Arabidopsis thaliana: one gene and its partners. The protein of the gene in region 3 interacts with the protein of the main gene of each other region in a pairwise test. Each region holds a gene or a part of one and is shown on either strand. Other genes may lie near its edges.

Evidence for each region. Proteins that work in one complex are often made in the same cells at the same time.
Region 1: the proteins of NF-YB7 (region 3) and AT1G74120 interact in a two-hybrid assay, tested with the Arabidopsis thaliana proteins (one large-scale study listed by BioGRID).
Region 2: the proteins of NF-YB7 (region 3) and BLH1 interact in a two-hybrid assay, tested with the Arabidopsis thaliana proteins (one large-scale study listed by BioGRID).

What each region holds. Positions count from the first base shown.
Region 1 is NC_003070.9:27,868,741-27,876,506, forward strand, and holds AT1G74120 (Mitochondrial transcription termination factor family protein), read right to left. Parts: upstream 4,593-7,766; 5' UTR 4,521-4,592; coding exon 3,183-4,520; 3' UTR 2,434-3,182; downstream 1-2,433. Other genes in the region: AT1G74130 (Rhomboid-related intramembrane serine protease family protein), read left to right, coding at 4,947-5,266, 5,799-5,919, 6,000-6,119, 6,310-6,420, 6,580-6,630, 6,744-6,845, 6,927-6,968, 7,056-7,157. UniProt on the Arabidopsis thaliana protein: Transcription termination factor required for mitochondrial NAD2 intron 3 splicing and normal membrane respiratory chain Complex I activity. Essential for normal plant growth and development. Binds to RNA but not to double-stranded DNA.
Region 2 is NC_003071.7:15,086,329-15,095,508, forward strand, and holds BLH1 (BEL1-like homeodomain 1), read right to left. Parts: upstream 6,088-9,180; 5' UTR 5,899-6,087; intron 5,851-5,898; exon of another isoform or gene 5,788-5,850; 5' UTR 5,739-5,787; exon of another isoform or gene 5,459-5,738; 5' UTR 5,372-5,458; coding exon 4,529-5,371; exon of another isoform or gene 4,212-4,528; coding exon 3,823-4,211; intron 3,739-3,822; coding exon 3,678-3,738; intron 3,593-3,677; coding exon 2,843-3,592; 3' UTR 2,434-2,842; downstream 1-2,433.
Region 3 is NC_003071.7:5,653,225-5,660,266, forward strand, and holds NF-YB7 (nuclear factor Y, subunit B7), read right to left. Parts: upstream 3,295-7,042; 5' UTR 3,266-3,294; coding exon 2,618-3,265; 3' UTR 2,167-2,617; downstream 1-2,166. Other genes in the region: NAD-ME1 (NAD-dependent malic enzyme 1), read left to right, coding at 38-103, 352-424, 522-608, 693-747, 855-926, 1,273-1,335, 1,430-1,544, 1,805-1,879.

The DNA.
Region 1 (7,766 bases), on a different chromosome or scaffold from region 3:
TCTTCGTTACTTTTCTACAACATTTAGATTATCGTCTACGTACGGAACATATTTCTTCGAACGTATACCAAAAATTCCCAAAGAGAGAAAAAGGCTGTGTGATAGAAGTCACTAAATCAAAGGAATGTTTCATCATGACCAAAAATCTTAATAATAGGAGTTTAAAACTAAGTATATTATTTTCATGTAAATAAATTAGAATATATATAGTTCTTACTGAATGTTAGAAGTTATATAACTTATATTGAAACAAAAACAAAATAAATCATTCAGTTTATTCCAATGACGAGAAAGAACAAAAGATAGAAACCAATTCCTCTATTAAATAAGAGATTCGGTGAACTAACTAAAATATAATTTCCATTTTGTTCTATTCATTTAACTAGAGGAAAAAACATATTAAAGAAACCTCATACTCTAATAAGAGATTTTTTTTGTTAAAACATATCTAATAAGAGATCAGCAGATCAGATGAATAAGTTAGAACTTAAAAACATAGACTGTATATAAATATAAAGATATATGCATAAGAAAAAATATTCATTTATTTACTACCAATTCCTATACCACCTAGTCAATAAATCTTACGGACACCGATACGCTCGCAGTCAAGTGGATCTAGCAATGTCGGACCAGATATTCTTTAATATTTTTCCGAGGACTAGATAATGATGATCGTTAGTTGTTCTGATACTTTTTAATCGATAATGCATGTAATTAAGAACGAATCAAATATTAGAATGTATATCGCGAACTGGTAGAGAATAATATCCTTTTTCGCGCAAGGGAAAGTCAGTTACCGGTGGAAGGAGGAAGATATACAATATGGTCGGTTAAATTTTAGAATATGATTCGACTGAAATGTGAAAGAGTTATATAGGGTTGGCTACCTATTTGGACGTTTAGGAAGTAAAAAAAGGCTACAGCTTAAACTAGCATATATGTACATGACTATTTTGATGTACATAGTAACATATAGGTCAACACGGTCGAGTACGATATTATTGTGTGTTCCGACTTCCGACCATCTCATAAATCAATGAAAAATGTACTCAGCCATATCTCGCTCATTCGATACCACGTGTGTAAGACTACATAGTGCTTTACTGTAGTTTCTAATTTTAAAAGAAATGGATCATGGATGGGATAATGAGCAGAATTTTCAATACTTGAATTCAAATTTGCCCGTAAATACTGTATGATTTCTACCTAGATATTCCATTGGGAATCCACCAAAATTAATAATGGAATCGTTAACCAACAAGATGGATTTGCTTCCCTTTGACCCAACAAAAAAGTCACTGTTTCCTCATTGTCTCTTTAAAACGCACATGACTCGACAGTGTCGGTCCTTCATGCGAACTTATACTACTATTTTAATAAATTCTAAAAGTAAAACCGTCCGGGGGATGGCTTATATTATATAGTCTAGTTTATAGACAGAAACTGATATAAATCAACTTACACAGAGGTTTGATTTACATTCAATGGTCATATATTATCAGTTACAAGACTATTGAAGAAACATAGTAAGAGAAAGAAGATGAAGTAGGTGCAAGAGGGAAGAGTCTGTTTATAGAAATTTAATTCAGTTGGTTATAAACTCATAAGTCTTTGTAGTCTCATAATTTGTTTGATCTTGTTCCATATTGGACTCTTCAAAAGAACTTAATGGTAATTGACTAATTGACCACTGTTTTCTCATAACTTGCTCAATGGATATTAAATCCAGCGCTGGCCTGTAAATCAATGTGCATAATTGCATCATTCATATTCAACTAGTTTGAGTTGAAATTTGATATACATATCATCAATTACGTCACGAAACATAGTAATATGGTGGCCATGGACGATGCAGGGTATGGACCAAACAAAGCATCGACCTCGTTAACCACAAAACTGTCTCCCTTGAACATTGATACCACACACACAGTGACACAAATATATGCCATATGAAATTGAAAAAAAAGCTCCATATATACGTATGTATAATAAGGTCAAAGGTTGTCTAACTATAGAGACAATATAAGCTGGCTTGTGGTGATACTTAAGGACAAAGCAAATGTCACAACTCACAAATCGGGTGTGTCTTTTGTAAGTTAATACTATTAGTCCATTTCTAACAGAAAACCGTTGTTAAAATACGTTGACCAAGTCAAAGATGTTATTTGACCAACTGTCGCTTCTTACATTACAAGCCTTTTAACACTTGGTCTTTTTTTTTTTTTTTTTTTTAGAGTATAAGTTTCGTTTTTTAAATACTTCTTGTTATTCACAATAATTTTTATTGAACCATGTAATCTATCTATGTATAGAAAAGTTTAATTTTCTCTATAATTAAAATCTTCATGGAAATTTAATATTGCATTTCAATTGATTTTACTTACATAATTAACTAGTAGTACAATTTGTGATTGATTAATACATATATAACACCAATAACTCTCTTCTTCATTAATACATAAATAACACTAGTTACCAATAACTCTCTTCTTCTTCTTTTTTTCTCCAATCACCCTCTTGGAATAAATAAGATTTAACTGATTAACTTCTTCCCATTATACAGATTTCATGACTTACTGACTCATGTATAACCAATTCTTCCATACATAAATCTAAGTTTCTTGTTAACAGAGCTTTTACGTAAAACATTTGAAAATAATGTTTAAGAAAAAAAATTGTTGGAAACAAATATTTTTGGTATAAATGCCAAAAACAAATGGTTTGTCTGGGATGGATCACGGAACAGATGAATCGGCCTAGCATAAAAGTTGCCAAAACGGGCTACTAGCCGGCCTGGCTCGGCCCACGTAACATCCCTAACTAGTAGTTACAGTTGGAAGTTGGAACATGGCACTTGACTTTTTAGAACCAAAGTCCAATTACATTTGCTCAGCAAATCTATCAGGCAGAGACATGGAAACGAAGGCAATGGCATTGGTAGATGTCTTCCCAAGATGCACAACGAGAAGTGAGCATGGCTTATTCAGGAGTATGCATTGTCCTTTGAATAATCAAGCCATGAACTCGAGCGAGTTGAGATCAGATTCGATAGTCACTGAAAGTTCCTGATAACCCATATCAATTCAGAGCAGCTCATAGCAAAGTGAGGGAGCAAGAACCCTCTAGAGAGTGGCCGATCTCTTTCAATCTAGTAAGAGGCAAGTCCAAGATCCAACATACTAAGCAAGTGACTCTATAAAGGACTTCATGTTCTGCACATCTTCTTTTGTTGTTAGATTGCTAGGCGGCTTCATAAGCTTCCAAAGCCCTGCGGGATGTCGTTTATTCACTCGGACATTCTCTTTTCTCTTTCCAAAGATTCTTTCACACTCTGGGTATGGCATCACGTACAAATTATAAAATCTTTTCATGCTTGGTTTGATCAAACCTTTCAATCCAATATCACAGCCAAGCCCACCTTTTAGTTTCAAGTAATCAATGACATTGTACCGTGGAACGATCTGCTTCTGAAGATTAACCCCTAGATACTCCGGTACATCAGCTAAACAATTGATATGAAATCCCATTCTGTTAGTTAAAAACTCAATCTTCTTCTCTATATCCTCTATCTCATATAAGATCACCCTCGGCTCTTTCCATACAACCTTGAATGCATCTCTACGAATCAACCCGTATTTGCATAAACAATCAACTCTGAGCTTCACTTCAAACCCAGCACGAAATGCTCCTTCGCTGATTATACTAACTCTAATCACTTCCCGGCATTTCAATGTGTTGATCAACTCCAAACACCGCGGAAGCTCACCTAACTCCAAACCAAGAACTCTCGGTTCTCTAGCAATCTCTTTCTTTACATCATCCTTACTAAACCCCATCTTCATGAACTCATCAAGCAATGGCTTAAGTCTAGTCTCAGTACCAATCCCTAGAACTTCAGGAAAAACGTGAAAGAACCTCTCAATGTTATCTCGAGCAATGCCAATTCCAACTAAAAACTCAATCTTCCTACGAATTTCAATCTCATTCACTAAAAGAACACCAGGGAATGAACTTAAAATCCTACTCACAGTACTATCACAAAACCCTAAACTCTTCAAAACCCTTACGCACTCATTAAACTTATCTGGACCAATCCCAATTCTACTAGAATGTTCAAGGACGCTCTTAATCGCAGAAGATGAGACGACACCGTGTTTACCGCAATTAGACAGAGGAACTCTCCATTTCCTCAGAAACTCTGATCGCAGAACATTAGGGCAATCGGAAATCAACGAAACGAGTGATTTCTGAGGGATTTTCAATGACAATAGGATGCCGAGAGAAATTTCGGTTTCTACTAAGTCCGAATTCAATAGGTGATTGTTTCTTGAGAGGAAGTGCTGAAGAGAAGAAGGAGGGAAACCATACCTCTGAAGGAGATTCGCGAGTAAAATTCGTTTCCTGTAGTGAGATTGATTGATAGGTGTGAGAATTCGTGAGGATAGTGATCGAATCTGGTTGAATAGGGTTATTGGGTAGTCACGGAGATTGATGAAGGTTTTGAGTTTTGAGGCCATTTTTTTATTTAGTTTCAAGGCACTCAATCACTGTACGAAGGAGGAAGAAAGACGATGACGACGTGTACAAAATTAAGATTATTATTTGTACCCTCAATGTTTCATCTTATTCCGAAAATGCCACCCACTATTTGTTTTGTAAGACATTTAACCTTGTCTTGAGTGGGATTGTGGTTTAGAGATGGGAACGTCATGGTTTAATGAAAGTTGGAAGTTGTATATTTACAATTTCCCTAAACCGGAGGGAATCTTTTGTTTACCTAAAAAAAGAAAGTTGTTACTTCTTGTTACATTTACATCACTATTTTATTGCACTTAAAAGACCTGAGTTTTTGAAACACACACTTTTCATGAATAATCAGAAGAAGTTGATGCTATTCTCTTATTTTTGCGCCATTTGGTAAAACATTTGAAATTAGTTTCGAAATGCATGCGATTTTCTGTCGCAGGGTCGCCGTCGGTTGCTCTTCCCCGCAGCTAACCAAATTGGTGACGAAGCAGGCGAGCCAGAGTCGCCATTCCCTGAGCCATCTTCTTCCTTTTGATCTCTCTTCCCGCTTTGTTCCTCCTTATGTTGTATCACGATCGGCGAGAGTTCATGGATTCTTCGCAGGGAAGTTGGGAAACACCAATCTGAAGCTGAAATTCGGAAATGTTATGGAATCTAGAGCTGGGTTCTTCAGTTCTGAGCTTCCTAGTCATGGATTCGAGTCTGGTGGTTTTACTGGGTTTCAAAAACGTGGATGGTATCGTTTCTTTTCCTCTCCCTTTTTGTTTTTCAAAGTAAAGTTGGAACCTTTCCTAAGAAAAATTCTGAGTTCCCCTTTCTCTATGGTCCTCTGTTTTATATTGTACCTATTTGTTTCCAAGTAAAAACTACATTTTTCAAAGATAAATTTGTCTTCACCATAAAATTTCTGGGTTTGACAGGATTTATTTGGTAAAGCATCGACCTTTTTTCACAACTCTCTTTAGCTTTTCTGGTCAATTGTACGTTTGGCTCTTCCAAGTAAAAGACGTGTCAGGATTCAGAGAAATTAGTAGGCTTTTTTTTTCTTCCATTTCTGCGTAGTTCTTGATTTTGAGCAGCACAAAGCTCTTTTGATGCTTTTCTCTTTATAGATAAGACATAGAATAGCAAGCTGGACACTGTTTAGACCTTCTCCTTTAAAAAATTGTTCTCCTACATCAAAAATCTTAGATTCTTTACCTGCTCCATTTGATTTTGGATACTAATACCAAAAAGAAAAAACCACTTTATTGGTTTAACTCTGGCAGGAAGTCTTGGATTAATGGAGCTAATGGTGTAGTTTTTGGATTGGTAATAGCTAATGCTGCTGTATTTACAATGTGGCGGGTTTTAGGCAAGGACAATATGTGGATGGTGAAGAATTTTATGGTCTGACCTCATCAAATTCTAACAACTTTTTTAAAAATAAAAAATCTACATGTATTATTAACCATATGGTATTTGGACAGTTATCAAGGTACAGTTTTATGACTGGACGTATACACACGCTGATCACTTCGGGTTTCAGTCATGTTGGAGCCACTCATATCATCTTGAATATGATGGGGCTTTGCTACTTCGGAGCCAGAGTAAGATTTTTTCCTTGTTTCCATATATTAATTTTCGTAAACGAAATGAGAAATGCTTTCATTTGTTTCCTATGAAGTATGAACCGGCTACTTACACTTAATCTGGCTCATCTAAGGACCGTCCTTAGTTCGTTTAAAAAGAAAAACTTGCTACCTATTGATCTTTATATCGAATCCCATTTGTTCTTAGATTGCAAGAAGCTTTGGGCCGCGCTACCTTTTGAAGCTCTACTTTGCTGGAGCACTTGGTGGCTCTGTTTTCTTCTTGAGTAGTCATGCTCTCTCGGTTATATCACTCAAGGTATAGTGCAACAAGCATAATTTTCTCATTTTCCTAACCATGCTAGGTCCACAGATGTGTAGTTTTTCCAGTGCATTTGTACTACGTACATGTTCTCTATGTGTTTGTGAGGTTTAGACGAAATGCTTTACCTTTGTTATTGGTTAATCAATCATACAGGGCCAAAGAGTTGTCCCTAAGGATCAATTAAAAGTCCCCATTGGGAAGCTGGTATGTTTTTTCACTCATCCAGTTAAATTATTTTTTAAAAGTATAAACAGACTGGAACAGAGATGCACACGCTCATGTTTTGGATGGTCAAACTCTTTCCAATTTGTGTACAGGGTGCTAATGGACCTGTGTATGCCATTACGCTTCTCGATATGCTCCTTTACCCAAAAGTTACTACATACTTTGGGTTGATGCTCCGAGTGCCTGTATTTGCTGTAAGGTCTCTCTAGATACTCGTCATAATGAGTGAAACGTTTCTGAATCATCTAAAATACTCTCACTCTCTTAATCTTCAGGGAATCTATAGCTTAGGACTCAACATTATAAAGATGCTAGAGGTGTGTATGATGTGAGAATCTAATCCACATTTGCTTTGAGACTATATGACTATATCTTAAACCAGACCAACTTTTTTGGGAATGCAGGGGAAAAACAACAATACCTTGACTAGTTTGGATCAGTTGGGAGGAGTTGTAGTTGCAGTCATTGCGTGGGCAAGGATAAGGAAAGGTCGATTCTGCTACTGATTGATTATTTTACTTTCTCCATCAAACCTTGGACTTGCTGCAAAAGATTCATATAACTTGTCCCATCATTATACTACTGGAGTACTGGTTATGTTAAACTTTGTGACAATGAGATTATTATTATTACTATTTTTTACGTTTGGCCTGCACATTTTGGAAACCTTCGTTTCCAAAGTAAACTAATTCTTATTCTCTTGTCGTCAAAATTTGAACATTGAAGATTATCTTAAGGTTATTGTCTTGACATTTATTCCAAGTCTTCTCACCAAGCTATTGTTTTCTTTTGAAGTCAATCACAAGGATTATACAGAAAAACAACGAATTATCTATTCCTTTAAAATAGACAAACCTAAACTATAAAGACTAAATCCTTTTTCCTTACAAATAGTACTAACATGCAAATAAATACTTATGAGAATATCCAAAAAGATTATAAAAAATTATTGTGAAAAGACAAATGCAAATTTTTCCTCATTTTGTCAAGTTGAGGATCTTTGTGACTTTGTTTAAGTTAGCCGTTTTATAGAGAACAGAGAGAGAGTAGATTCTAGTCACTTGGGTACATTCTAGGAATTGTTCAGTGTCCAATTACATAATTGTTTTGATGTC
Region 2 (9,180 bases), 9.4 Mb from region 3:
TTATTTAGATCATTCGACCGACGACGGAACAACCGGCTATCAGGATTTGATTCTTCACATTTTTCTCGGTTAAACTTATTAGTTTGACTTGATGACGAAGCATCTTTTTAAAGTTCTTCTTCTTTGCCCCTGCGATATGGGTGGGTGACCCAAATTTTCAATTTCATCATCCTATACTTCGTTTACATTTTCCACGATCGCAGTTATAAGTTATGGGTAGCCTCTTACTTCTAATTAAATTAAAAAACGTTGTTCTCTTTTGATTATTTCTTCTTTTGTTACCGACAAAACCTAATTAAATGCCATTAACGGTCCTCTTGGACCCAAACGAACTATATAATTATGTTCAACTTTTTTCTAGGCTCTTCTACAATTGTTTGAATATTGACATTTCGTTAAATCGTTTTTCGTGGTTTTTCATACTTACTTTGACGACGTGAATCATGCATGATATAATTGTCAATGGCTCTCTATCTAAAAGTCAAAGTCTTAAAAACTGGAATATATTTGATTATTATGAGAAACATCTTCTTCATATATAAATTTGACGTAAAAATATAATTTGTGTATCGATCATTGTTAAATCGCGTCTCGTATTATTGAGTTTCTGACAGGAATTTACTCATGCTTTAGTAAAAATTGTATGATTAATTAATCAAATCATACATATTACTCGACTCCCACTCAAAAATTTCCAATTCTCAACGTAACATGTCAATAACATCTACTTCAGAATTATCTATCAATAGAAAATTTGTAGAAGTATACCATCAACATATAAAAAAACTTATGAAAAAATCGACAAGAAACGGATTTCTCTTAGGAGCAGTCATTTCCTTAGGAGGTACTTAATGAGGTATGATGATGTTACATACATTGGGATGAAATTTTGATAAAGGAATTAGTTTAGTAGAGATCGATCAATGGCAAAACGTATCACATCAGGGATATGCATGGGTGCAAAACTGCAAGTGATCAGCAGTGTGGAGCTTCAACAACTAATGCCACCGACGCAAAATATAACACGGTTTAAAAGATATTACCACCATATATGCATGAATGGAGCATGCGTGTATGAAACTAATATATTATTCTATACTCATACAAAGTAATTCACTAATTCATTTGACCACACTCTTTTTAGATATATTAAACAATGTGATCTTACTTTACGACTAACAATTGTAATTGCTAGGTACAATGCATCTAAAGCTCTTCTAGCAATTTTAAAATAGTTTAAGAACTTCCTTTTTATTTTCATTACATAAGTGTTTCAATATTTCAAGGAAATGTCACAAATTAAAGCATTTCATGCCGTTTCTGCATATCGATAATATAGTCAATTAAAATGATTGTAGAATGCAACATGATGTATACTAACTAGTATTCCGTTTATCTATCTGATAAGCACCATAACTAATCTGGTTCAGGTATGAAAAAGCAAACCAGTCCGGTTAGAGCTGGTTTGTTCTTGTACAGACTGTTGCTGTAAGTAAGAAGAAGGGCTTAAACGTTACACATTCAAATAAGGTAGTCGTTAAATACAGTGTGGAAGTTGTTGAAGTGGACAACTTCTGAACATATATTTCGAGGACTTAATAGTTGATTATATTCCTACCAAACCTTTTTGTTTTTACATGACCTTAACATTCAATCAATAGTTTACCCATGAAAAAACCTCTCTGTAAAGAACTTTTTTCTTATTATTGTTTTTCTTTTTGGACAATAGAATTTTATTTTTTATAATTTAAAAAAGGGTTGTTGCGTTGGGCCTAAACAAAGTGATGTTGAAGGGAAGCTTAAAATGAGTAATTTGGGTAACAAAATCGGAAATTTTATTAGATTCTGGGCCTCAGTTTTAAATAATGAATTCAAATTTGTTGTGTTTTTCAACTTTTGACTCATGAATTTGGCTCCGATAGTCGCAACATATTTCATGTGTTTCACTAAATTTCATTATTTATTAATATCTATAGAAAGGTATTTGGGCCCAAAAAAAGTTATGGGCCGAAAATGAGTAAAATATATATTAAATATTCGCATATGTTTTTGTAAACTTTTTTCTTACAAACCTCTCCGAAATTAGTCTCACACTCTCACGCAGTCTTCATATAAATATTCTGTCAATGTCTTTAATAACAGAAAAAAAAAATTGTTACTGTTATTGTAAGTTTATCTCTCAGCAGGTGACGCTATTCTACAAAATGATTTGAACATTTTCATTTTTATATATCTTGAAAAGAAAATTTATAACAAGTTTTATAAACGTTAATCTTAATTGATTTAAAAAAAAAAACTATACACAAAGTTTGAAATCTGAATTCAATTCAACAGTTCGTAAGATCTTATTTCAGAGATTGCTTTCTTTGTTTTTTTTTATATTTGTATTGTGAATGTGTAGAATTTTATTTAATATGCTTTTAACACATAAACACTCCTCAAAAAATATTATAAGTTTCCAGCCGCTTAAGCATACATGTCATATTCGGAATCTATACAGCTTAGATCTAATCTGTAATCATCATTCCATATTTGATAGATCAGTTCACTATCTTATTAATTATTACATTGTAATAAAAGTAAAAATATATTTTGGTATACACCCAATGCAAGCTATTACACGTAACTAATCCATATACATATATAACCCTATCCATCCCCCAATAGAAACGAAAAAAAAAAATTACAAAATCGATATACAACCGTCGGCCATATATAACCAAAGACTAAAATTAAATTTTGTTCTTTGTTTTGGTTCAATGGTATGAGAAACTATATACTAATTAAAAACTAGAAACGTATATAATAACCTGTTTCGGTTTCTCCTTCTAGAGAGATGGGTTTATGCAACGAAGTCGGGCAATAACTGAGCCACATATCTCTTCTGGTTCTGTATGTTCATCCCATTGTAAGCCGCGGCAGCTGCCGCTGATGAATGTGCGGTTGTGGTCGAGCTACCACCATTGATGGTGGCGGGTCCATATTCCTCTGTTTCTCCTATTTTCACTCTTCTCCCTATAGGAATCCCATGGTGGGTCTGCATGAAACCCTGATGGTGCGTGGACGACAAGCTATCACAATGAGGTAAACCTAACGTGAGGGACACGCCATTGTTGTTTCCTGAGTACCTTTGCGCCATGAGCTCCTGGTCTGAGACTACATCAAATCTTGACATCTCATCCATTTGGTATTGCCCGAAATTACCCATGAAAGGGTAGCCACCATCTGATCTTATCCCTTGCCGTTCTTCTAGAATCTTCATCGTGAGCTTCTCGTTGGAGCTGAAATCCGCATTTATTGGCTGCATCATTGTCTCGTCGCTGGTTCTTAGTCTCTTGGGGCTTCCTTGCATTCCAGTGACGCCTTCTAGGTCACCGTTGTGATTGGGATTCATATGGTAATTAGTGTCCGCCATTGGGCTCTTTTCTTGGTTACTTGTTGACTTTGAAGCAGAATCTTCGTTGCTTTGATCCAAAGGAGTCTTTTCCATGGATCCCATGTTCTTTGCCTGCTCCTTCATTTCCTCCATGTACATCTCCTCCACCATTGGTTTCCATAACCGAACTCTCGCGTTTATAAACCAGTTCGACACCTAAATAATTAAAGAAAATAAATTTACTTAAAAACGCTTTCTTAAGTAACCTAATAACACAAGAAAGAATCATTTTGAAACGTACCTGGCTACGAGTGAGTCCTGTTTGCTTAGCTAGCATGTGCTTGTCCGAATCCTTAGGGTATCTAATTAAAAGAAAGACAACTTAGAGACTGAGTTTGTGTTCCAGTGATGAAAAGTAGTGCATGTGTGTATAGTGGGTTACTTACGGATGAAGAAAGTGTTCGAAGAGCCAAGCACGGAGAACTGAGACGGCTCGTTCTGGGAGACCACGTTGAGGTCTCCAAGCATTATTGGAAGGATGTTGAATCATTCCCAGTTGTTGAAGAGCTCTTTGCTGTCTCAAGTGGTGGTCCACGAACTTGAGCCTCGACCCCTCAAACCTCCCAACACCAGACACTGAATCTTCCTCCCCAAGACTCTTGTTGGCCGCTTTTATCTGACCAGCGATCGCCTCTTTCAAGCAACGGAACTGTCTTGATATGGTTTTCAATGCTAGCGACGTGTATGACTTCGCTGATCCTATCCCTGCCGCTTGCTCGAACGAAGAGATCACCATCTGCATCTGCTGGTGGTACTGTCTATATCTCTGCTCCACCTTTTCATTTTTCAACCAACAAAGTAACGTGAGTCTTATGAACATAAGTGTACGGTCTACATAAATATAATCTATAAAAGTTGTTAGTCTTTACTAAGAGAGGGACAAAAAAAAAAAGATTTCATCAATCTTGTAAGTTGTCAATTTGAGAAATCGGAAGAGCAAAAAAAAAAAAGGATAGCTTAATATACATATAAAATGAATTGTGAAAATGACTGAAAATCTTAGGGACAGAACTTTTAAGTCCACTTCATGTGTGATATAAGAGAGCACTCAGTATATGTAGGCTTATTGTATATAATACGTATTGTTGTTACCTCATGAAGCATGTTACTAAGTTTTGCTTTCTTCATCTGTATTTCTTGTCTCTCTGCCGTGCCTAGCTCCACCGGACGTTTCCCGGCTGCTTCTGCTCCGCCACCGGAACCTTCTCCTCCAGCGCCGGCCGATGATTCTCCGACAGGTTTATCATTTCCGCAACTACCCTTTTTCGATGAGAATAGTTGGGATTTAGCGTTCATGTCATCGGAATCAGCGTTGACTACTTCGTCAAGAAGCTCTTGTGCTGCCTTCAAGTACTTGGAGCTAACAAGATTAGCTATACCGTTTGTTACCCCCGATCCTGTAGAGCCAGACCCGACCCGGATATCTTCTCCATGTCCGGACCCGAATCCGACGTGAATAGGCTGGTGTTGTTGATGATGTTGCTGTTGCTGCTGCTGTTGAGACGAGAGGGTTAAAGAGAGGCCTTGCTGCGCGCGTGGCGTCTCACACGCGGCTTGCTGGTGAGTGGGATCCACTTGGTGGCTACCGTAGAGACTGTACTGCACGCGCGGAGGATAACCGTGAAGTACGGAGATGTTGTCGGCGGCTGTAATGGAAGCAGCTTCGTGACCTGAGAGTGGTATTCCGACGAACTGCTGGCTCGCGTTTGGCTGCGGCGCGTGGGAATCGAGGAAAACGAAACTACTGTTGTTGTTGTTTGTGTTTGTGTTTGTGTTGTTGTTGTTGCTATTGTTGCTGTTGTTGTTGTTGTTCGAGTCGTTGTCTTGTTGGGTGTACTGAACGTAAGTAGTTGGATTCATGAGGATCAACGTTTGAAGACCACCGTCGGATCCGGCAGAGATCTCCGGTGGGTTTCCGTGAAAGTAAGCAGCCATCTATGTATAATTAGTAGTTGTTACACACGAATGAAACGACGTCGTTTTCTTTGATTCTCTTTCAATTCTTGACCTTCTTTCACCAAGCTGATTGATATCATAGAAAAACAAACAAAAGTATGAAAAAGGAGCAAAAACAAAACCACTATAAGTTTAATATAGATCTGTATATATATACAGTTGAAGCGAAGAAAAAAAGAATCGTGATCACATCAAGAAGACGAAGAAGAAGGGATGAATTATGGATTATGAGAAAGAGAGATTGAAGGATATGGAAATTAAGACATAATCATGATTGAAAATAAAATAATAAAATAATAGAGTTAGAAATTGAAAGAAAAAATGAATATTATAAAAGATGAAGAACCTGGATTGATAGAGATCTGAGGATGCACGTGTTTCATGATCATCTCAAGCTGCAAAAGGAAAGTTACATTAGAGAATTTCTATCAAAGAGAAAGAGAGAGAGACAGACACACACACATACACACGAATATACACTTATATATATATATTTATATGCATACCTGTGTTTGTGGAGATGTGTGTGATTGCTATGTGAGTTTGGTCTCTGTGTCAGACTCAAAGATCTCTGCAACTCTTTTCTTGCTCAAAGGGGAAATATAAAATACATTTAAAAAGCTGAGAAATAATATATAACAAAATAAAAATGACTAATATATATTGAAAGAGAGAGAGGATAAAGAAAGGAGAGATAAAAGATACCCATCTTTTCCTTCACTCATTAATCTTCCCACAGTCCTTAGTACGCCACCATTTTTCATCACTTTCTTTCTATTTTATTTTATTTTAGTGTTGTGGTCGGTATATCTTATAACCAAAGTGGATTTTTTGTTAAATGGGACAATAACCAATGTTTAGGACATGAAATATTCACTAATGTAACTTAATTTTACATTCATATATTGATATATACTTGTATCCGCAAAACAATTTGTGTGTGTGTGTGTGTTTACGTTCACCACCAGCTAATATTACTTATCTTTTTAATTTAATATGCTAAATAGACATTCCAACCATGTTGGAATTTGTTTTCAAAATTGATATTAAACTCTACACTTAGATATAGCTTTATGTAATCATTTAAATTAGTGTACTCTAGAGCAATTGGTTCAACAGTTTTTTTAAATAGAAAAAGATTAATGAATAAATTAAGAAAAAGACATAGCATTCTTTCATACTGCATGTTCAAAAAACCTTTACTTCATGTTATTATCACTATATAGCATGGTGATAAATAAGTTACAAAGTACATATATATCATAGGGAGCTAAAATTCATAAAACTAAGTGAGAAAATGTGCATATAATTGTTTGTTGTTGAAATTCTAGTTTGACATCCAGTACAAGAGATAATATTAAATTCGAAATATTTCAACTTCATAGACATATGTATACATTATTTGGTAATATATATGTGATACGTATCTTATTATAAATTTAGAATTGGTATACTTGAAAAACAGAGGAACTTGTATGATATGACTTTGGCCTTTTCATGTATTGACCAGGTAATGAACCCACATATCATAACAACCAAACACCCTTTATTTAGTTATTTATAGACGATATAATTTCATAGATGAAGTAAATGTTATCACATCAAGACATAGTGATATGTATGTCGTGTCCAATTTAGAATCATATCATTTTCTTTTAAAACATTATATTTGTATTTATTTAATAAAAAGAAATCCCACACGCATCTCAATCCAAATCTTTCTTTATTGATATAACTACAATCCTGAACATAAAGTATTCTTCGGATTACTATTCTTGCAGACTTTTATCATCTAGCAAGTTCAGAGTGTACACTGAGGATGGCAACGAACTTTGAACTGATTATGATTTATAAGTAATAAAATTAGTAATGTTTACGTTACCAAGTTCTTTTCATTTTTTCTTTTTTCAACTGTTTTTTTCTTTAATTTCATTTCATTATTTTCCTCAGCAGATTAACTAAGATACTTTATTTACAAAGTTTTATATTACCACATACACATAAAAACTTAAAACGCATCAACACTTTATTCTAGAAAATGAATAGATTTCATTTTTGAAAGTCCTACCGTTAGTTTATATTTTTCTTCCAAACACTCAAATAGGTTAAGAGTATAATATTTTAAATATACATAATGGGATTAGAGAAATTGAAAACTTATACGGAAAAGTGAATTGTGTCAGAAGATCCAAACAGCACAAAAACGAGGAAACGTCTCCTTCTGCAGAAACCTAAAATATTTAATCACACAAAAATCTAAATTATTGAGAAAGAGAGGAGAGAGGAAGAAAGAAGATGATAACGATAATGATAATGAAGCATGATGGGGAAAGAGTGGGTCCCGTTAAATGTATATTTACTTTTATTTCTTTATTTCATATATTCTTTTAGTTTACCACGTATGTCTATTTTTAAAGGGTATTTGACTAAAAGTATTTTATTTAAAATATAATTAGAAATATAGTAGATAATTTTAGTTGATTAATTGCAAAGAGTGTTTAAGTTCATGAGAAAGTCTTTTTTAGTAACTTGTATTTATTTTATTTATACGATATAGATAATTATAATTTGTATGTAGAACAACAAAAACATATGTGGACAAATTTGCTTATCTTTTTGAATCGTTTACCGTCCACATAAACAAACTACCAGTTATGTAAAATAAATCATCCATAGCGCATAAAAACTGGTATCTTGTTATTTTTCAAAAGCATTTTTGAAACTAGTATGTTCATATTTATACATATCTTATTGTTGATCAAAACAATTGTAGGGTTGGCCTCATGTTTAATAGTCTCACTAAATTTCAAACAACAACACTCAGAAAAAATTGTAATACATTTATTGATGCGTGTTTTTTTAAATTCTAATAAGATGTAAATAGTATTTATTATAATTTTATTTGTTGCGTGAGTAAATATACATGTGGTGATTACCAAATTCCTATCAGTATTGATTTTTTATGGAAAATTTCCTATAAATTATTTTCGTAGAAAAATGAGAGAAAAACCATGTTTCCTACGATTTTGGACGTAGGAAAACGTTAATTTCTTTGTAGTTTGTTTCAAATATTTGTCATTTGTCATTTTTAGTCATTATAAATACTATATCCTAAAAATGGAATTAAAAAATCCCAAACATAATGTGCAAAATAATGCTTTTATATAAAAAACTTGTTTCTTATGTTTTTCTCATTGGAGTGAAATCTTTGATGGATTTCAGTTGTCGAGCTTCTAGTCTTGGTTAAACGAATGCAGTTTGTAGAGACCGTTACTTTGGTTATGCGTACGAGTGTTTTGACCCACTTTCCCAGGTTAGACACCAAACTAGCTAGATTTTGAGCGTGCAGTTGTTACATAACATACGTAATGTGGCTTGGTTTAAATTTTATCATCAATAAGCCAATATTCACGGTGTTATAGTGGTCATTACTATTCGTCGGGTGTGTATTAAATACTCCTAAAATAAGCCCATTTACGCATAATTAGTTTTACTCCAATATAAATTAATCTGGATTGTCTTCTCATTGCGATCGGGTTTGGCATGTTATATGCCTTTGACTAAGTACTGTTTTTTCTTTCTTTATGTCATACGAATTTGTAATATTCGCCATCAACTTGTGTTATTTTTTGTTCAAAAATAATGAAGAAAACTATTTTAGAGGAAGAAATCAAACAAATTAGTCAACAAAAATCTTCTAAATCTGTATTTTCTGAGTTTTCATAGTTTCAACAATTTCATCAGTTTACAATATGTTATTAGAACAACTAGTCGAACATTTCATGTTT
Region 3 (7,042 bases):
GACAAGAAACAACGGTTTTCTGTTTCATCTGTGCTAGGTTCGTGAAGTTAAACCTGATGTGCTTCTTGGTTTATCAGCAGTTGGAGGGTTATTCTCAAAAGAGGTAATGAAAGCTGCCAAACGGCTAAACATATCTAGTGCTATGCAACAGAATCAGTGATTTAACTAATTAGATGAGCGCGCAAATGAAATCTAGTATTTCTTCAGTGACCACTGTCTTCATAATCTGGTTTCCATGGTAACTGCTAAGTAGATGAGTGAGCTAGTAGAATGTAGCATAGCTCATTGCTTGCATGATTCTGACATATGGTAGTTGATTTTTGAAGTCATTGTTGGGATATTGTGTTGAAGGTTTTAGAAGCAATGAAAGGTTCAACCTCGACAAGGCCTGCTATATTTGCAATGTCAAACCCCACAAAAAATGGTAATTTGTCTTCTTTCTTTGCCATAAAATGTGTTTTGCGGTTATTTGTGATTCTTTTTTGGATAGATGTAATAGGTACTTGTGTTTTGAATAACAGCTGAATGCACGCCTCAAGATGCATTTTCGATATTAGGCGAAAATATGATTTTTGCGAGTGGAAGCCCATTCAAGAATGTGGAATTTGGTATGTATGAGGACCTCTGTATCATTTAGCATACGCCATTTTATATGAGGCTTTTTCAAATATTAGTACCTTTTCTTGTGGCAGGAAATGGTCATGTAGGACATTGCAACCAGGGAAACAACATGTATCTATTTCCAGGGTTGGTTCCTCTTGTTTATTGTCCGAAAGAATTGCATACATTCTTGAATTGATACATTAATTGTCATGAAATAAATTGATTTTCTAATCCTGTAAAATTTATTGTAGTATTGGACTTGGCACTCTTTTATCTGGTGCTCCCATTGTCTCCGACGGGATGCTTCAGGCCGCATCCGAGTGGTAAGCTCCTTTCTTTACCTTTTTCATTTATCATTCCTGATTTATTCTCAACTAAAGCTGAAGTGAGTACCATGATATATAACTACGGACCAAATTTAAATGATTATTAAGAATGTCCGCATATTTGGCTGATGTCACGAACTATAACATACCCCCCATCCACGAGACAGGAACCACAGTAGTTCGACATGTTCTCTCCAAATGGTATTCCCAATAGTAGGCCTTCGGTTGAGGTTTCATATTGTAGTTAGTGTAAAACTCATATTTTTAAGGAGACCATGAAAATAAACAAGTCCCGTAATTTATGAATGTGGAATCATGACATTGTTCTGCTAAACTACTGCAGCCTAGCAGCATACATGAGCGAAGAAGAAGTGCTAGAGGGGATTATATACCCTCCAATATCAAGGTAAGAGTAACACAATCAAAGAACATCCTTACTGTTACATAAGAAAATGTTTTGATATAGTTGCTACATTTGGCATGTGGAATTGAAATTTCAGGATACGAGACATAACAAAAAGAATAGCAGCTGCGGTGATTAAGGAAGCGATTGAGGAGGATTTGGTTGAAGGATATAGAGAAATGGACGCTCGAGAGATCCAAAAGCTGGATGAGGTAACAATTCAGCTAATGACTTGCTTTAATATAATCATAAATGATAGAAAAAGAAAAGATGTCAAAACAACATCCCATCTTTCACGTGTTTTGGACTCCTGATCATAAAATCGTATTCTACGAAGAATGTCGATCGGGTTTGATTATATGTAAAGAACAGAAGAGTGTTTACCTGATTTCTCACTTAGAGAAAATAAAGACTAAACCAGAAACTAAGCCTAAATGTTAGTTATGTTGACGCGGTCTTGTGTATTCCGCAGGAGGGGCTGATGGAGTATGTGGAAAACAACATGTGGAATCCAGAGTACCCGACTTTGGTCTACAAGGATGACTAAGTTTGGTTCCCAAAATGAATAAGTCTACTTTCTCTTATTTATATGTAAAAATTTATAATTGGGGTTGCTTTATACCCAATCAAATTCATAGCTACTGCTTTCTCTTGTTCTTATGTAAAAAAAAAAAAAATATATAATTGGGTTGTTTGTTATCCAATCAGATTCATAGCTTCCACTTTCTCTTATTTATATGTAAAAAAGAAGTTATATTCAATCAGATTCATAGCAGCAACATTTTACATACATCGTATTAGAAATGCATTTACTTTTATAACTTATAGTTTCAGGTCAAGATACTAAGAGTAGTGAGTGAGGAACAATTTGAAGTTCTTTAATTCAAGCAATCATCTTTATCAATCATAACATGAGTAAATGAATGAGAAACAATACACCATTCTCTTCCAATTAAGCTATTCTCTACTGGAAACCTTATAAGCTAGACCACTAACTCTCAAACCGTAGGTGGTAAGTATTCTAATCCAATTAGCAGCATGGAATTAGTTTCTACTGTTGTAAATCATGAGAGATTGCTATATTTGCTCGAGACGAACTAATCCGGAAAATATATGAAGACGAATTTCTGTTACACAAAACCATGGGTATACTGAAAATATCAAAATGTACGTGTCTAGTGTCTATATAGCAACAAATATATATAAGCATCAAGATGTACTCACAAAAGGTAAAGAAAAGCATATAATATGTGAAAAGAAAGAAGAAAAAAAGCAAATGTCTCTCTCACCAGTGAATTGAATCAATGTTATTATCATGCTGCTGCGGGAACTGTTTCTGCAATGATTTAGGAGAGAAAGCAATATTGGGAAAAGGTTGATGATCCACTGGTAGGAATGGAGAAGGATGATGATGAGAGATGTAACTAGTACATGACATGTTGTTATTGTTTTGGTCTTGTTCTTGAAACTGATAATTATGATGATTCTGTTGTTGAATCTGCTGTTGTTGTTGTCTTTGTTGTTGTTGTTTTGGGCTGTTAACTTTCTCTCCTTCGGTGTCTCTATATTTGCAGAGGTAGACCTTTAATGGAGCCACGTAGTCTTCGAAACCGAGAGTTGTGATAGCCCAAATGATATCATCTCCATTGATGGTCTTCCTCTTTTCTCTTTGACACTTGTCAGAAGCTTCACCAGTGACGAAACTAATGAACTCCGAGACACATTCTTGAACGGTTTCTTTAGCGTCTTTTGAGATCTTACCGTTACCGGGAAGAACTTTTTTCATGATCCTTCCGACATTCGCAATGGGAAGAAACCGGTCTTGTTCTTTGTTGTTGTTGTTGTTGTTGTTGGTCTTTGAAGAAGGGCTTCCTGGATTTGTTTCAGCTACTCCAGGAGACCCATGATCTTCTTCTGGGCTCTCCTCAGTCATATCTCTATCTCTTTGTTTTTTTTTGTGATTGATGTTAACCACATGTGATCAATCTGATTTTATGGTTAAGCTTAGTGCATGAAACTAGGCAACTTTTCTATTTATGGATACCTTGCCAACCAAATTTGGAACTCCATGCGACTCGCTCCTTTTTTTTTTTTTTTTTTTTTTTCTTTGTTATTTGCCAGATAATAAAGAAAAGTGTAAGAAAATAGCAATCATGTAACATATTGTCATCAAATAGTGTTTTCAATTTATTATTTTCCGTAGTATGTTTATTTAGTATGTAGACAACTATAAATTATCATGTCTCCATAATGCTTTGATTTATTGTATTATAGTAATTTCCTAAACTCTAGCCTGGTAAATATATATGGTGGTTATTTATCCGAGAATATTACACGTAAAGGCACTATTTTGAAACTTTGGCCACAAATAGGCACTTTAAAAGCATTAGTCACTTTAACTCAGTAGAATTACCCCTTTACCCTGAAATCGTTAGTTTAACAAAACCTAACAAATTTAGCCGGTTTTCGGTTTAATTTTTTAATCTCAATCTCTAAACTAAAACCAATTTGTGAGAAACCTCTTTTTCTCACCCAATCCTTCACGACGATTTTACAGTTTCATTTATCTGGGCAGTTAAAATCATCACAACGACGATAACATCATCTCGACTCCGGCGATCATCCCAACGAGTTTTCTACCGGCAAAGTCATTTCCTCGTCCCTCTCCCGTCGTTATCGTCAACAAAGCTTTCAATCGGCCGACATTAATTCGTCCTCTCCCGTCGTCGTCGTCAACACTTGTTCTCCCGTCATGGTCTTCATTTTCTTGTCTCTCAATCGATTCGTCGTCTCCGGCGTGTGCTAGTAACTTCTACTCGGTCCTCAAATGCAAGGTATTAATCTTCTCCAATCATTTTATTTGCTCTAATTATTCAACCGTGTGCTAATTTTATTTATAATATCCAACATTGTGAAGAGCTAATAGGTGAAGACATGAATGCTACGTTAGGTGATATTTCAAAAATGTTAATCACAAGACCTTATCTTCTTACCACAGACTTCGGCTTGCTTATCTCCTCATTGTTGACGGTGTCCTCGTATCCTCAAACCAACCTATTACGTCTACATTAAAATATGTAGAGATGTTGGCAGATTTGGAGAAGTTCCTTAACTGACTGAGGTCTACGTAACTGACTGTCTATACACATGTGGATAAATGGTCAAAGAAACATGGATAATATACTTTGGATTGACGTTTATTGTTCATGTATAAACTTATGTATTAGTATGAAACTATCATGTGAGTCTTTAGATGATCATGGACTGGACTGCTTGGACAATCATTAATGGACAAATATGTCTTTGATTTGCTGCGAATATGTTTATAGCTCGATAAAATTGTATCAACATGTCTATATACATGTGGATAAATGGTCAAAGAAACATGGATAATGTACTTTGGATTGATGTTTATTTGTAAATCTTAATATAAATGTCATCCAGTCATAGTGAATTATCCAATCAGACAAACGAATTAATACAGTTATGTTGTGGATGGATTCATATGGATACATTAACAATTATCTTTATCTTTCAACATGAAAAGCGTTTGATATGGATACATTAACCATATCGATAATCTTATCTCTATATTGCTGTTGAATGTTTTAGTGGTTTGTATCATATTATTTGTTTGTTCCATCCATAACAACATTTTTTCAAGTGCATCTAACATTTGATATCAGTTAACAATGCGAAGAAAAATAAATAATTTTGTGTATTTTGAACTATTGTTTATTTGGTAAATCATTCTAGCTAATTATGTTTACAAATACGTTAAAACTTAATATAAATGTCATCCAGTGATAATGAATTATCCAATCAGACAAACGAATTAATACATTTATATTGTGGATGGATTCTTATGGATACATTATCAATTATCTTTCTCTTTTACCATGAAAGACAAATCTAAAATTCCTTCTACCGGAAATATTGAGATACTGTTGTATAGCGGGAATATTCCCACCATCAGGTTTTAAACTATATTGTTTACAATATGATCAAAAAAAAAAAACATATGCACACTTAGAGACAAAGAGAAGCTCGTCAGCTCTCCCGTCTCAACCAGCTCGTCAGCTCACCCGTCTGAAGCATCTCGTCAGCCGGTCCGTCTCAAGTAGCTCATCAGATCGCCCGTCTCAAGCAGCTCGTCAGCTCACCCATCCGAAGTATCTCGCCAGCCGGCCCGTCTCAAGTAGCTTATAAGCTCGCCCGTCTCAAGCAGCTCGTCAGCTCACCCGTCCGAAGTATCTCGCCAGCCGGCCCGTCTCAAGTAGCTTATCAGCTCGCCCGTCTCAAGCAGCTCGTCAGCTCACCCGTCCGAAGTACCTCGTTTGCCCATCCATCTTGAGTAGCTCGTTTACTCGTCCGTCCGAAGTGTCTCGCCGACTTGCCCGCCCAAAGTAACTAACCTACTCGCACGTCTCGAGAAGCCATTCAACTCGTCACTTATCCGCCGGATCATCCCTAAAACTGCCTAACTCGACATACGACCTTCCTCCAGTAATGGCCTAGCTCGTTTATCGCGATATGAACTACGTGTGGCTTGATCCCTTTCTAAGGGTACGTAGGCAGCCTTTTGCAGTTTATCTTTTATTGGACTTGATATGTTGGATACTAGTTTTTTTGCCGAAACAATTTCTTAAATTTTTTCCATACGAGTTTCTTGTTTAATGGTGCTCAAGTCAAACCTCCAGCACCAACCTGTAGTAAATGCAGTTATCGATGGAGATGATATCATTTACAGAGACTACGTGGATATCAGTATCGCTGTTGGTACCCTCCACTCTAGTTATTCTAAACCTTTCAGATAACTACAACTTCCATCATATTAAGATTTTCAAAGTCTGTAAAAAATGGCTATTGCAGGCCGATACTAATTCAGGGAGAGATTCCTAATCGACGCAAATAGGCCTCTCCAACAAATCTCTCTTTCTCTCTATCACACTCTTTATCACTCTCTGCTATCGTAGATCGGAGAATCTCCTCTGAGAGCTCTAATCTCTCAGTAATCTTCACCGCGTGTCCGGATCTAATTTTCCTGTAAGTAATCTCATTTTCAAGATTTATCTGCGATTTCTTCTCTTGATGCTAATTTTCCTAATTTTCCCCGAAGAATCGAGACCATTATGTGGAGAAGAATCGTTTCATCGCATCTTAAATCCATCTCCGCCGTCGGGTCCTGCGCGGCTCCGTCAGATTTGATTTTCGATATAGCCTTTAGCTATCAGTGTTACAATCAATTATCACAGTGAGAATTAACAACCATCGACATTGAGATAATTTCACTCGGCGAAGGTAACTTCCTTTTCTGTAAATATCAACTGTGGATTTATTAGAAGGGAACCAAATCAAAACAAACATTTCTAACCGGGTAAGTAAATTTTTGGTTTAGATGAGTGGGGATATAATTGTCCATTTATTTTTCAAAAACAAGGAAAAGTGCCTTGTACGTGAGAAGTGCCTCAAAAGGAATAAAAGTTTGTAGAAGTGCCTAAACATGTCCAATTCCCTATTTATCCACAACAATATATTGTCATCGATTTTGTCACTTTTCTTCAATACGTTTCCTCTCACGAACCTAAATGGAAGAATTTTCTTGAAACCAGTTTTCTTAAATCATCATAAATGAAATTACTATTTTTATAATGTTAATAAATTAAAGTGAATTAAATTTTGTAATAGATTACGTCATTAGAAAGAAAGA